Mytilus edulis: one gene and its partner. The protein of the gene in region 1 interacts with the protein of each later gene in a pairwise test. Links are inferred from orthologs where the notes say so. Each region holds a gene or a part of one and is shown in the gene's direction. Other genes may lie near its edges.

The links.
Region 2: the proteins of cleavage and polyadenylation specificity factor subunit 5-like (region 1) and large ribosomal subunit protein P1-like interact in a two-hybrid assay, tested with the Homo sapiens proteins (2 studies listed by BioGRID and IntAct). The link is inferred for Mytilus edulis from reciprocal best matches to the Homo sapiens genes NUDT21 and RPLP1.

What each region holds. Positions count from the first base shown.
Region 1 is NC_092348.1:95,908,156-95,915,656, forward strand, and holds the start of cleavage and polyadenylation specificity factor subunit 5-like, read left to right. Parts: upstream 1-4,493; 5' UTR 4,494-4,527; coding exon 4,528-4,649; intron 4,650-7,501. Other genes in the region: N(6)-adenosine-methyltransferase catalytic subunit METTL3-like, read right to left, coding at 1,331-1,403, 2,144-2,414, 4,128-4,278. UniProt on the Homo sapiens protein: Component of the cleavage factor Im (CFIm) complex that functions as an activator of the pre-mRNA 3'-end cleavage and polyadenylation processing required for the maturation of pre-mRNA into functional mRNAs.
Region 2 is NC_092355.1:8,605,377-8,612,228, reverse strand, and holds the start of large ribosomal subunit protein P1-like, read left to right. Parts: upstream 1-3,849; 5' UTR 3,850-3,982; coding exon 3,983-4,054; intron 4,055-6,852. Other genes in the region: thioredoxin domain-containing protein 5-like, read right to left, coding at 3,486-3,640. UniProt on the Homo sapiens protein: Plays an important role in the elongation step of protein synthesis.

The sequences.
Region 1 (7,501 bases):
TGCGTTTATAAATACACTGTTTCTCCAGGTGGTCGTGTAAGTGTTCGTACATTGGTCCGTCACTTTATAGAGGCAAACGAAGAGCACGTCGTGGTGTATAGAGACCTGTACCTTCAAGCAGGCACTCTACCGTCAGGTTTAAATGGGATAATGAACATCTATGCTTGAACATAAGAACCTGACAAAACACTCATTGGTCAGATGGGAGTCAGTTTCCTTTACTGCCAGAAGACGCCATAATACGAATTTCGCAGGGGAAAAAAACGGCCTATGACCAAAAACAATATTTGCACAAGGACTGCATGCATTGCTGGTTGTGTTCCAGTACGGGGTTGCTTCTTATACCGTTATAAGCTGGGTATGCATATTCTGCAGGGTAACATAAACGGACAGACATACAGAGATTTGGTGCCTTAACATATTGTAGTCCGTCATTTTAGTAATCCCCCACTTGCGTCAACATTGTCAAGACACTTGTACCTGAATGACAACGCTATACCACGCAGGGCAAGAATTTTAACCGTGTCCAAAGAGCAACCAGCCATTTACACTAATTTTTGGCCTTCCTTGACTCCATGCATGAACCCTATCAAACATGTCTGAGATGCCATTGTCGGAAATCTCAATCGAGATTCACCTTTACAAAAGTTTGTCGATTTAAAAGTGGCATATTTGTTTAATGCAACAGATTTCCTCAACTAAAGTTTTGAAGGCTTGTACCGAGAAAGATAGTCGTGTTATGAAACTGTACCGGAAATGAGGTTGTTACACATGCTATTGACTCAAATATTGACATTAAATTTGCCAAACATACCAAAGATTATGTGTAGAAAATTTTAATGGTATTGGGTGATTAATTGTTGTAAAAAAATAAAATCACAGTGAAACTTAAATTCCATTTCTTAATTGTGTAATTTACACTATTTCTATGAACGAAAAACCTATATGCATAGAACCTTCATAAGTGACCAAAATTATATTTGTGGTTTGTTAATGGTATACATTAGCAAAATTGCTATATGATTGTTTTCTATTTTTCGAGGAACAATTGATTTTTTAAATTTGAAAAAAAATCGATGCAATAAAAGTAGGTGGTGCTTAACTTTTGGCGGACTGTATATATAGCCATGCCATTGACAGTAAATTGAGACCTAACATAGAGTAAACAATATTTCATTTGAAAATATTAACGTATACATTACAATATGCCAGTTTTATTAGGATTTGAAAACAAGAGATTTTCCACTTTTACAAATTCCTCCCCTAACTTGATATTGTTCTTAAATAATGTAATTTTGCTATCTTTCATAATTTATACAATAAGACAGACCTTAGTTATATCCATACTATTGACAGTAATTTTGCCTTGTTCATCTTCTAAACTGTCATCTTTTACTGTTATACTGAAAGAAAAATATTACATCATTAAAATATTTAAATTTCTTTACACCTTACAATGTATCCCTATTCCCTCCTGAACCTAAAATCTGTGCCGCTTGAACTATTGACCTATTCCCTCCTGAACCTAAAATCTGTGCCGCTTGAACTATTGACATGATACAACATTCACTTTTCCATTGTGGCATCAGATATTTTGTATTATGATGCCAACATTTTACAGGAACCTGTGTGATATCCAGTAATGGCAGACAAATAGCGATAAGGTGTATTCATATACCTTAAAATTGGATATTTTATTTGGATAATGGTTTGATTGATTGATCGCTGCTTAACATCCAGAGGTGAAAATTGTCATTATAATACCCTGCGTTGCACTACACTGACAGGTTGCGATAGATTCTTAACAGGCTAGGACATAAGGTTATTATAGTCAACAGGAGAACATGCCATCCTGCACTTACTGCATGAACACACTGTCCTGACTCCATGTCAACTTGTCTTGCTCTGATTACAAAATGTCTACACCTTTCAATCCCTTACGACCATGATGACATATTGAAATGTAGCATTAAAGCATATGGATTTTATTTTCTCCTGGTTTTGGAAATCTACATTTATTAACTGCAGAGATAAAAAAAAAATATTTTGGTGTAGCTGCATTGCTATAGTACTAGTATTGGCATATAACTCATATCTTATACATGTATATTTCTTTCATCATGTTCATATTTATTTCACCTACTTTATCAGCTGTTGTCCTGCAAATTTCTTCAGTAATTCTTCCACAACATCAAGTTTAACGGTCTGTTTGAGTATTTTAGATGAATGTTCTGCTATAACATTAGAACTACAGGGTATGTCTAGATCTATGTCACAGAGAGCCAACATTACTTTCTTCTCTAGAACAGGGTCTATCTTTGTAGGTTCAGCAGCCGGTGTGGACTTTACTGGACTGGAAGATGTAGATGGTATTGCTTTAACAGGGCTTGCTGATTCTGATTGGCTCTTTGTATCTGAAAAATAAAGTTCATGATTTGAGGCAAAATCAATTAAAAGTTCTTGTACAAAATTTTTATTTAAATTCAAATTCAAACCAGATGCTCCGCAGGTTGCAGCTTTATACGACCGCAGAGGTTGAACCCTGAATGGTTGGGGCAAGTATGGACACAACATTCAAGCTGGATTCAGCTCTAAATTTGGATTGTGATTAAATAGTTGACACAGCATAGGTTTCTGACACAGAATGAATGTGGTCTAATGAACTTAAAATATTTTTTTTGCCTTTGAGTTATTCACTATGCTGTTGAATATTAATCCTCTCAAAAAAATGTTTAAAGAAATTTTCTTTTTATTTATGAAATCTGAAATGAGAAAAATTTACCCCCCCCCCCCCCTCCCATTTTTTTTTCACATCCCCCTTTACCATGTTTACCTTTTTCCAAAACTGATCTCAATTCAAACTTCTAATGGAGTTTGCAACAATAACTACTCATTTAAGTACATCATAAAATATTAAAATATAAAATAAAGTGCTTGTTATCACTGAATGGTAAAGATTGTTTTAATTTATCAGTCGGTAGTAAAAGTGAATATGCATTGTATAATGTTTAGATTTAGCATATCAAAAAAGCCCAAGAATTCAATTTTTGTTAAAATCAAACTTAGTTTAATTTTGGACCCTTTGGACTTTAATGTAGACCAATTTGAAAAGTTATGGTGCGAAAACCAAGAACAATGCTTATTTGGGCCCTTTTTTGGCCCCTAATTTCTAAACTGTTGGAACCAAAACTCCCAAAATCAATACCAACCTTCCTTTTGTGGTCATAAACCTTGTGTCAAAATTTCATAGATTTCTATTTACTTAAACTAAAGTTATAGTGCTAAAACAAAGAAAATGCTTATTTGGGCCCTTTTTGGCCCCTAATTCCTAAAATATTGGGACCAAAACTCTCAAAATCAATCCCAATCTTCCTTTTGTGGTCATAAACCTTGTGTTAAAATTTCATAGATTTCTATTCACTTTTACTAAAAATAATGATTGTTGATTTAACTTGCTTTGATGTAAATACTGCATGTATTTATCTTGTTATGAGTGAGTAAAACTTTGAAGATCACGAGAGATAATTGTTTTTAACAGCTTGGCTCCTAAATTTGATCTCTTTTAAAAAAAAATATTCATAGCAATACACTTACGAAATATGATTAAGATTTTATCAACACATAAAAAACATTGTCAGAATTTCACTTTATTTAGAAAAAATGAACAAATCATTTTTATGTAGAGCAATACACTTGCTTTAACGGTATTATAAAGATTTATTCAACACGTCAAAAAAATGTTATCAGAACCTCACTATATGTAGAAACAATGAAAAAAATATTTATAAATAGCAATACACTTCATGCACTTTATTACCCAAACTCGATTCCAAATTGTATAACACAATACCCATAAAAATTGGTCTTGAACGTGTAGGGTGCGAACAGACTTTGAGTGCGAAAGTGTAGGGTGGGAAAGTGAAAGGGCGCCAACGTGAATGGGCGCGAAGGTGATTGCTCGCGAACAGACCCAGATTCATGAGACCTCCAGTAAAATGGTGTAAAAATAGCAATAAGATCAACATTAACGACAATGGAAAAAAAAATATATGGGTCAGCTATTTTGTGTGCTAATTCTCAGTTGCAAAATGGACAATTTCAATGAGAACCAGATAATGGTGTTTCACCTTCACTACTTGTTGTTGGTGAGATGCTAGACTTGGTGATTTCGGCTGCAATTTCCTCTCTTTCTTTTCGTCTCTGGAGCATTTTAGCTCTCAAGCTACTCTGTTTGCTTTTGATAGCTTGGATATCGCTCCATGCATCTGAATCTGACATGGTGGTGTCTTAAATCAGGTTCGTAAATAGGTAAATAGTTCGATCTCGAAATCAATTCTCTTTTTTTTTTAATTTGATCAGTGTCAATTATCTGCAATTCAAACAAACGAAATATTTTCTATTTTAAAGCGCTTAAAAGACCCAGAAGGGCACTTTTCTAAAATAACTGGTTCCCTGTTTGTAATTTTGTTGCTGATTTGCCTCAAATTAATATAAAAAGAACCAGAATAAAGTAGGAAAACATTGACAATGGCGTCACATGGAAGAGCACACGGCGTTCCCCACGGTTGGCCTAAACAATCTAATTCCGCATCCTTCCCAAAATATGGCACTGCAAATCCTCTCATAACTCTCGACAGACCAATCAATTTGTAAGCACTCTAGCCATATAGGTTCATGTGTCTTTTAATTTATCTATCAGAAATTCATGATCTTTCTTTTGTAGACTACTACTACTAGTACTAGTGCAACACTCCAACAGCAAGACAGGATCTGTATGATTCCGGATAAGTGTTCCTGGTTAATTAGTTCTTTTGAAGAATGCGTAAACCACAGACCCAACTTAATCAGGTCATGAACCATACCAGCTAACCCTCACATTGCGAGCGGGAGACTCTAGGGCAAACAACAAAATTACGGAAATCTCCCACTTGCCAGTCCAGTCCCGAACAGGATTAAAATCTCTCGCTTTTGGATATTTTGACCTGGAATAATACGAGTTCAAAATTCTCTGCCTTTTCAATAAAATGTTAAGCTTTTTTTTAAATTTGTTTCCTATTATACTTGCAGTGTTCTCCCCGGTATCAGGTCCGTTCGCGCCCAATATACTTTTGCACCCTACACGTTCGCACCTCGCACGTTCGCACCCAAGGTCCGTTCGCACTCTACACGTTCGCGCCCAATTTTAATTCAAATTCCAGTTGAATAATTTGAAAATCATGATTGTTGTTTTTAATTGCTTTCGTGTAAATACTGAATGTATTTATAGCTTGGTATGAGTAAAAGATTGAAGATTTTAAATGAAAAACACAAAAGATAATTGTTTTGAACAGCTTGGTCCCTTTGATCTGAAATAATGAAACAATACACTATTATATATCACTATACATGATAAAATTTAATCCAACACACACAAAAAAAAAGAAACGTAGTCAGAATCTCACTTCATTTTGAAACAAGTCAATGAAAAAAAGTTATAGCAATACACTAACCAAAACATGATAAACAATTATTCAACAGTTCAGTTCAGTTCAGTTTCTTGTATATTCCTCCATTAAATGTGGAGCACTACCCAAAGGGTATAGTTTGAGCAACTATTTACACCTTAAAACATAGGGAAACAATTAATTAAATTATATACAGATGACTGAATTTCAACACAAAATAAAACGTTGACAGAATCCCACTTTATTTAGAAAGGAATATAATTTTTTTTAACAATACACTAACCAAAACATGATTAAGATTTATTCAACACAAAAAAAATGCTGTCTCACTTTATTTTGAGACCATGAAAACAATTATACTTATAAGAATACTACGTACTTGCCAAAACTTGATTACAAAGTTATTAAACACAAAACCAATTAAAATTGGGCGCGAACATGTAGGGTGCGAACGGACTTTGGGTGCGAACATGTAGGGTGCGAAAATGAAAGGGGGCGAACATGTGTGGGTGCGAACGTGAATGGGCGCAAACGGACCCGGATTCGTTCTCCCCAGGCCGTTTTAGCGTCGCGGTACCGCGACGCTATATTTTTTCACCGTGATGCTATGATAATTCCAGCGACGCTATAATTATTACCGCAACGCTATAATTATTCCCGCCACGCTATAATTATTTTGAAGATGCTATTTTACTTGTCCTCAATTTTGAACTTTCATCTATTATTGATTATGATCATAAAAATTATATCACCTTTAATTGTAATCCCTTTAAGTCGGACACGAAAGGCAATTAAGAGATTAAATAGCTAGGTGTTAATTGCCCTCAGGGTGATAACTGTTTGGATGCGAATATCCCAAGCTGTCACTTGTGACATGATTAATACCACGTCACGTGTCTGCAATCACCAATTTCGACATGGAATAATGCAATCACAACACAATTCGAAATCTACGTTTTATATTACGAAATTTCAAAGATTGAAACGATTTTTATTTTTTTTTAAAAGGTCGTTTATTTGTGCAACTCTCCAAAAATTACTTTCTTTCTCTTCCAGTAATACGAGAGCGAGAATTTTGGTTTAGAGCTAAAATAAGTTTAATATTTCTTTAAAAAGTTATCATAATTGGCTGAAGTTTATGTTTAATCCATTTAATGCATTAAAAGCGTCTTATTCATTCACAATCTCTTGTCAAACAATGTTTATTCTCAGACTCATTTTCGTAAATTTTTCTACGGCCGCCATTGCACATTTTTGTGTAAACTACGGATAGGAACCGGACTAGATATGACAAAAATCCGCATTTTCACGATAATGACAACAGATGGACAGTAGACAGAAAAAATATACCACGAAAGAAAACTACGTATTAACAGACTATTTGTTAGATGACTTTGTTAAAAATACATATCATTTTGATGTAAAGATAAACAACTGGGACTAATTCATTGAGTGCCATGAAACAATGAATTTCATAAACATGATAAAAAAAAGTTTTTAAATTGAGGATTTTTTTGGCTACTTTATCTTTACTTAAAATAATATAAAAAATTGTTAATTTTGTGTACTAAATATTTAGTTTTGTATATATATACCGGTTGCACTATAATGAACCATTCATTCATTTGACTTATTATTGGGTAACTGAAACCACATATTTATTTTTATTTGGCACAAAAGGAAAAAAATAATTCTGATTACTATAAATGAATAAAGAAAACATAAACTGAAACAACTGTTTTTGTGGTTACAGTTTAATTGTATTCTCAGTTATGAATTGAACAATATAAACTAAAACATATAAAGGAAATAGAGCATCAACACGACGCGACAAATGACATTAAAAAAAATACTGTTATTTTTTTTAACGTAAAAATTTCTGGGGAGAACACTGACTTGTACTTTTCATTAACAGTGTTCTCCCCAGAAATTTTGGATAGCATCACATTTTGCGTAAAAAAAAATAAGTGTATTTTTTTTAATATTGTTTGTGATTGCATATTTCCATGTCGATATTGGTGATTGCAGACACGTGGTATTTAGTCATGTCACAAGTG
Region 2 (6,852 bases), on another chromosome or scaffold:
GCTTTGATGAATATATCATTATTATCCATTTTAAATTTTTCATTTTTAAAAGTTAAAAGGCATATATGTATATATCACTGTTTATCTTGTTTGAGTGGTTCTATAGTTGTGCACATAAACAATAAAAAAATCTTTTATAGGTGATCCACAATTTAAAATGACTGACTTTAATGACATACCTGCCAATTTTTCAAAATGCCCATGGGGGTTTTACGTGAAAGATTGTTCCTATAGTCCTACAAAACCTTCAAGGGCTAACAAAGGCCAGAGGCTCCTGACTTTGGACAGGCGCAAAATCGCGGCGGGGTTAAACATGTTTATGAGATCTCAACCCTCCTCCTATACCTCTAGCCAATGTAGAAAAGTAAACGCATAACAATACGCACATTGAAATTCAGTTCAAGAGAAGTCCGAGTCCGATGTCAGAAGATAAAAGAAAATAAATAAAATGACAATAATACATAAATAAAAACAGACTACTAGCAGTTAACTAAGGGACCTTCAAATATATTCTAATGTGGTTTTTTGGGTTTTTTATTAAATGACCATCTTAATATCAAAGCCAAGCAATTACATTATTTTAAACAATATAGATACTGAGAAAATAGTCACAAATAATTTAATTGTCACAGATTCCACAGTACAAACCCATAAAATAATTCAAATCAATTAAAAACAAAGGAAAAATTTGAAATACAATTCCTCAAATTGTACAAATCTAATATCATTCAGTCATTAAAAATTTAAAATTCATGAATTATTCCTAATAAATCACCTTTTCTCATCAGCATTTAAATGGAACAAGTTAATGTGAGTCTATGATTTAAATACAACCATCAAATGACTTTTAACTTTTGTATTGAATAAATGGAAATACTAGGAATTTTTAAAACTGTATTCATTTGTATCAGCATATGAAATTAAGCCACGTCAGCAGTTAAAAATAGATTATTGCTAAAAATCATGATTTAAGGCCAAAGAAAAAATTAAATATTTTTTTAATATAAATTCAATCATCATCTTTTTTAATGATAATCATTGGTAATTGTTGCAATTTTATTTCATTCTTTCTACTTCCAAATCCAATAGCTTGTCATGAAGCATCTGTTTTATCATATATCCAATTCAAGACCTGACAATTATCACATTATATGGGGGGAAAGTCCCTGATTACAGTAAGAAAATCAATTAAACAAAGGGGGAAAGTCCCTGATAACAGTAAGAAAATTAATAAAACAAAGAAAACAGTCAATCTACCAACATGACCAACGAACTTAGAATCGTTAACTTTTACTTCTTCCAACTTTGAGTTTACCTTATTTGTGGAACAATCTTGTTCTTTCTTTAGGTCTTGTTTATCAAGAGACTCAGTAAAATATTGGAATGAGAATCATAATGGTTTCGGACTTTCCTGCAAATTTGTTGTTTTTATAACGAAAAAAAAAATGCCAGGTGAAAAATTTAAATAAATTTTTTACATTTCAAAATGAGTCTGGACCTTATAATTAATCAACATAAAAATAAGGCATATAAATTGTGTTCTCTTTGGAACCTTACCTGATAAATCAACTGTAAATTTTTAGTATCTGATCAAAATTAACAAGCTGACTTGGTACATGTATCTTCATTGATATAAATATATTTTTTTTAAATTCTTTGATATGAAATTAAAATTATTTTCTGAATGATAAGTGTCTCTAAGTTGACATTGAAAACAACTTCACAACTGAAATCCCTAACAACAGGACCAAAATTGGACATGTTTCCCTATTTTTTTTTTTTTTACAGATTTTTTCACAAATGTTTCAAGTTAAAATATGCTATAATTCCACATTTTTTTTCCCGTACAGTTGAGCTTGCACACATTATTCTGTTGACAAAATTAGACAAATGCTGCCATGTTGAAAGTCATATGATTTCCTCCATATATATAATAACTGTTTATCAAAAAGAATACTAACTAGACAAACATTTTGAATTTATTCTGTTTCTGTAGTTGCAGTTGTATTGTGGACCTAGTGGCGGATCCAGGGAAGGGTTTCCAGGGTTGCAACCCCCCCCCCCTCCCTTTTTTTAGGACGATCAATGCATTTGAATGGGGACATGTAGTTGGAACCCCCCCCCCTTTTATCCTGGGATGGGAGCCCCCCCTTTTCAAAATGGCTGGATCCGTCCCTGGGACCTGATTCCTTCTACAATGTATTGTTATGAGTTACAATTTATGTATAAAATCACCAATAACATCTGATTTGAAAATTTAAATAAATATCTGAAGCTTGTCTCCCATTGTCTCCTTGTGCTTGATTTTCTCATTGTGTTGAAGACCCATTGGTGGCTGATTTCAATTTCTATTTCCATTAATTTTATAGTAACAATATGTGACAAAAAAAGTGAACATTTATTTTTAGACTTTTTTTATTATCACGCATTTGCGCAGAAATCTACTTCCTTCTTCCAGTCTTGTTAGTCATGTAGTCATGAGTCTTTAAGTAAAATATATATTTATCAGTCTAGTAAAATAAGGAAGAACTTCATACCAATTTTGTTTTTATTAATTCTTTGATATGAAAAAAACATTACCTGATGATAGCTTTTCTTTGTTTACATACACCTTATTGCTATTTGTCCTCCATTACTGGATATCACACAGGTTCCCGTAAAAATTTTACGTCATAAAACAAAATATCTGATGCCACAATGGAAAAGTGATTGTTGTATGCGTCAAAAGTTCAAGCGGCCGGGTCAGCCGGGATTAGTGATAAGGTGTATTGATTACATTCAATAACGTTACAACTAAAAATCACTGACAACAGAACATTTACAGTATTTTCGTTTCTTTTTAGATGTGGTCCGAACAAGTTTGTTGTATTTCAATCTTACAAAGTGAATGATTTTAAACAAATAAAGGGAAAAAATAACAAACAAAAAATAAACAAGTTAAATAAATTTATAAAATGAAAGACTTTTCTACATTCGCTAGAGGTATAGGGGGAGGGTTGAGATCTCACAAACATGTTTAACCCCACCGCATTTTTGCGCCTGTCCCAAGTCAGGAGCCTCTGGCCTTTGTTAGTCTTGTATTATTTTAATTTTAGTTTCTTGTGTACAATTTGGAAATTAGTATGGAGTTCATTATCACTGAACTAGTATATCTTTGTTTAGGGGCCAGCTGAAGGACGCCTCCGGGTGCGGGAACTTCTCGCTACATTGAAGACCTGTTGGTGACCTTCTGCTGTTGTTTTTTTCTATGGTCGGGTTGTTGTCTCTTTGGCACATTCCCCATTTCCATTCTCAATTTTAGTGTAAGTATACTGCAGTAGACAGATAACTAGTCCAAATAATTATGACGTCTGGCAAGGCTATTTTACTTTTTTTCTGGGACAGGAAGGCGTCCTAGAAAAAAATTAAAATAGCCTTGCCAGACGTCATAATTATTTGGACTAACAGATAACTAAACTACTGTACAATTTTTGAAAGTCACTCACCATGGGGCAAAGAACATAACAAATTGTTTTGTCTCCTCCACTTGGGTAGCAAAACTATCGGCTGTATGTGACACAGCTTCAGATCCATGATCATCATTGTCAGCAGTCACAACAGCAGAAAAAACAAGTAACAACACAGCTCCTACTTTCCACATGTTTACTTTCGAAATAGAAACAACAACCGGAAACGGAAGTACAGATCGCTAATGCAACGTTGATAAATCTCTAAAAAAACAAAGTTTTGTATCCATATCAAATAGATATTTGCTAACCCACATACATACATTTAACAAAAGATTTTGATATCGTTTGGTTGATGAATCCCTTAGATGAAATAGTCAAAAACTTTTTTCAGCTTTGAGACTCTACTTCCGTTTCCGTCCTTTTCACATTTGCTTGAAAACAAAAGTGTGGTGTTCTTTCAAAGCTAAGGCCAATCGGCGACCTACATTTTGTTTTATTTGACATCGTCCCTAAATTGTAATACACAACTAACAATGGCATCAAAAGACGAACTTGCCTGCGTATATGCCGCTCTTATCTTGGCAGATGATGAAGTAGCAGTAACGGTGAGAGACGACGTGTTTCGATAATCTACTTTCGTTTTCTTCTTTCAATTCAGAGTCCGACTCTTCTTGAGTGTATTATAGGCGTGTTTTATTTTCTTTCAACATGTTTGAGGTTGAATTTAACCAATAACCTGGTTAAGAGTAAAACTTAAAACATGTTTCAACACAAAATAAAACGGATTAACCAAAAAAACCTTAAACAAAAACAAAACTTTTAAACAGATACTGGCAGCTTTGCAACCAAATAGAAATGTGTATTAAAGAAGACAACAAATTAAAACTTGTTATTTAATAATAAATGTAATCCGTTTGTAGGACGAAGAACATGCTTCTAGTTCCCTTTGATATATTCATGTACAAATTTCAAGAATTATTTTCAACTAAAAAGAAAAACTTTAATGCGATTTTCTTGGATTTTTTGCATAGGAACCCGAACCAGGTCCAAAATTAATGTCATGGTAAATCAGCTATTTCTGTAGAAAAGCAAGCTCGTGTGACATTGTGATTGACAATTTTGTTACCCGTGTCTGTTATTATTTATGTAGGACAAACGGACCGTATTCCACTAACTTTTTAAACATAATAAAATTGGGAATGGGAATGGGGAATATGTCAAAGAGACAACAACCCGACCAAAGAGCATAAAACAGCTGAAGGTCACCAAATGGTCTTCAACGCAGCGAGAAAATCTCGCACACAGAGATGGGCCTCAGCTGCACCCCCCCCCCCCCCTTAATAAAATGTGCAGTTGTTCAGTGAAAATGGACGTCATACTTAACTTCAAAACATATAAATGAACTAAAATCAAAAACATACATGACTAACAAAGGCCAAGTTGGGACAGCAGCAGCAAAAATACGACGAGGTTAAACATTTTTTATGAGATCTCAACCTCCCCTTTAACTCTAGCCAATACAGAATAAACAAACACATAGCAAAACGCATAGTAAAACTAAGTTTAAAACAGTGGCGGATCCAGAAATTTTCATAAGTGGGGGCCCACTGGCTGCTTAAGAGGGGGCCCGATCTCGTCACGCTTCAGTGAATCCCTATATAAGCAACCAATTTTTTTCTCAAAAGGGGGGGCGGGCCCCCTGCCCCCCCCCCCCTAAATCCGCCTCTGTAAAAGAATTAAGAGTCCGATGTCAGAACAGGCTACAAAAGAAACTAAGCAAAGTGACATAATACATAAATTAGCAAAGGACTACCAGTCGTTACTGACATTCCAGCTCCAGGCAGACCTAAATTAGTATGTTCCAAAATTTCGTATCTCTTGTTGCAGCAACACTACAATTATTGCCATTAAACATTATTTGTTTTCTCCAAATTTCCGACTTTTTATAGCTTAATTTTGTTGTAATTTGTCTATTTATAATGTAAAAGTACATGTACTTGAAAGTTTAGCACAAGTTGAATGCGATTGATTTAAAATATTAAAGTCAAAAATTTAGATTGTGATCTGCATGACATGCGTACTCCCTTACGCAAGACCATAGTGGATAAATTTTCAATAGTACATGCAAATATCAATGCTGTTATTATTCAAAAATTGTGCTTTCTGTCGTTAACGGTCGTTCACATATTTTCAATCATTAAAATCTTTCGAATGTGTATAAGGACTGTTACTGCCACAACAGGACAATGTTTGTGTGTGTTAACCAGTGCCAAAATGTTGCTGCATCGCCGGGCCCTTTTAATCTTTATCTATTATGGGATTTACATGAATCATTGCAAAATATAAAATATAGAAAATGTCAAACTCCAAGGTAAAAACGGAAAGTCTCTTATCAAATGGAAAAATCAAAAGCTCAAACACATCAAACGAATGAAAAACAACTGGCATATTCCTGACTTGGTACAGGCATTGTCTAAGGTAGAAAATGGTGGATTAAACCTGGTTTTATAGCTAGCTAACCTTTCACTTATTTGACAGTCGCATAAAATTTCATATTATTGACTGCAATGTGTGAACAAAAACAAATTACAAGTAGGATTAAAATAACAAACACTACACATATCAACTTTTTCACGTTGAAAAGGGGTCTCATAAGTCAAAGACAACAATCAATTTCTCTTAATGTTCATTGTATACATATGAGAAAATAGTTCCTATCAAAAGTGGTTTTGTTTTGTTAACATGAATGATGATATATGTTAAAATATATAATAAAATTCTTTATTTGAGAATTTTGGCAAAAAGTGTGATTTGCCTATAGGTAGAAAAGGTGCAATTTTCTTGTTCCGAAAGTCTTTGGTTTTAAAAACTTGGGTACATGCTATGTCAAGTTTGTCATTAGGGTATTGGACAGTACAATTTTCTATTTTTTATATGAATTTTTGATCAGTTGATGTGATTTTTTTGCATAATTAAAAAATAAGGCAATCGTTAAGTGTATAATTGTTGCACCTGTCCTAAGTAAGACCCTAAGTCAGGAATCTGAACTTCAATAGTTAACTTTGTTGATGTCGTTCATAAGTGTTTCTTGTTTCTGGTTTTTAATATAGATAAGACAGTTGGTTTTCCAGTTTGAATGGTTTAACACTATTAATTTTTGGGCCCTTTATAGCTTGCTGTTCGGTGTGAGCCAAGGCTCCGTGTTAAGGACAGTACCTTGACCTATAATTGTCTACTTTTATAAATTGTGACTTGGATGGAGACTTGTCTCATTGGCACTCATACCACATCTTCTTATATACAAACACTGCATGTACATAGTGACAGGTATAGGTGACTTATTGCATATAGTCACGGTGAAACCGGTTAATAAAGGTTCTGAAGTGTCAAGTATTTAGAAATG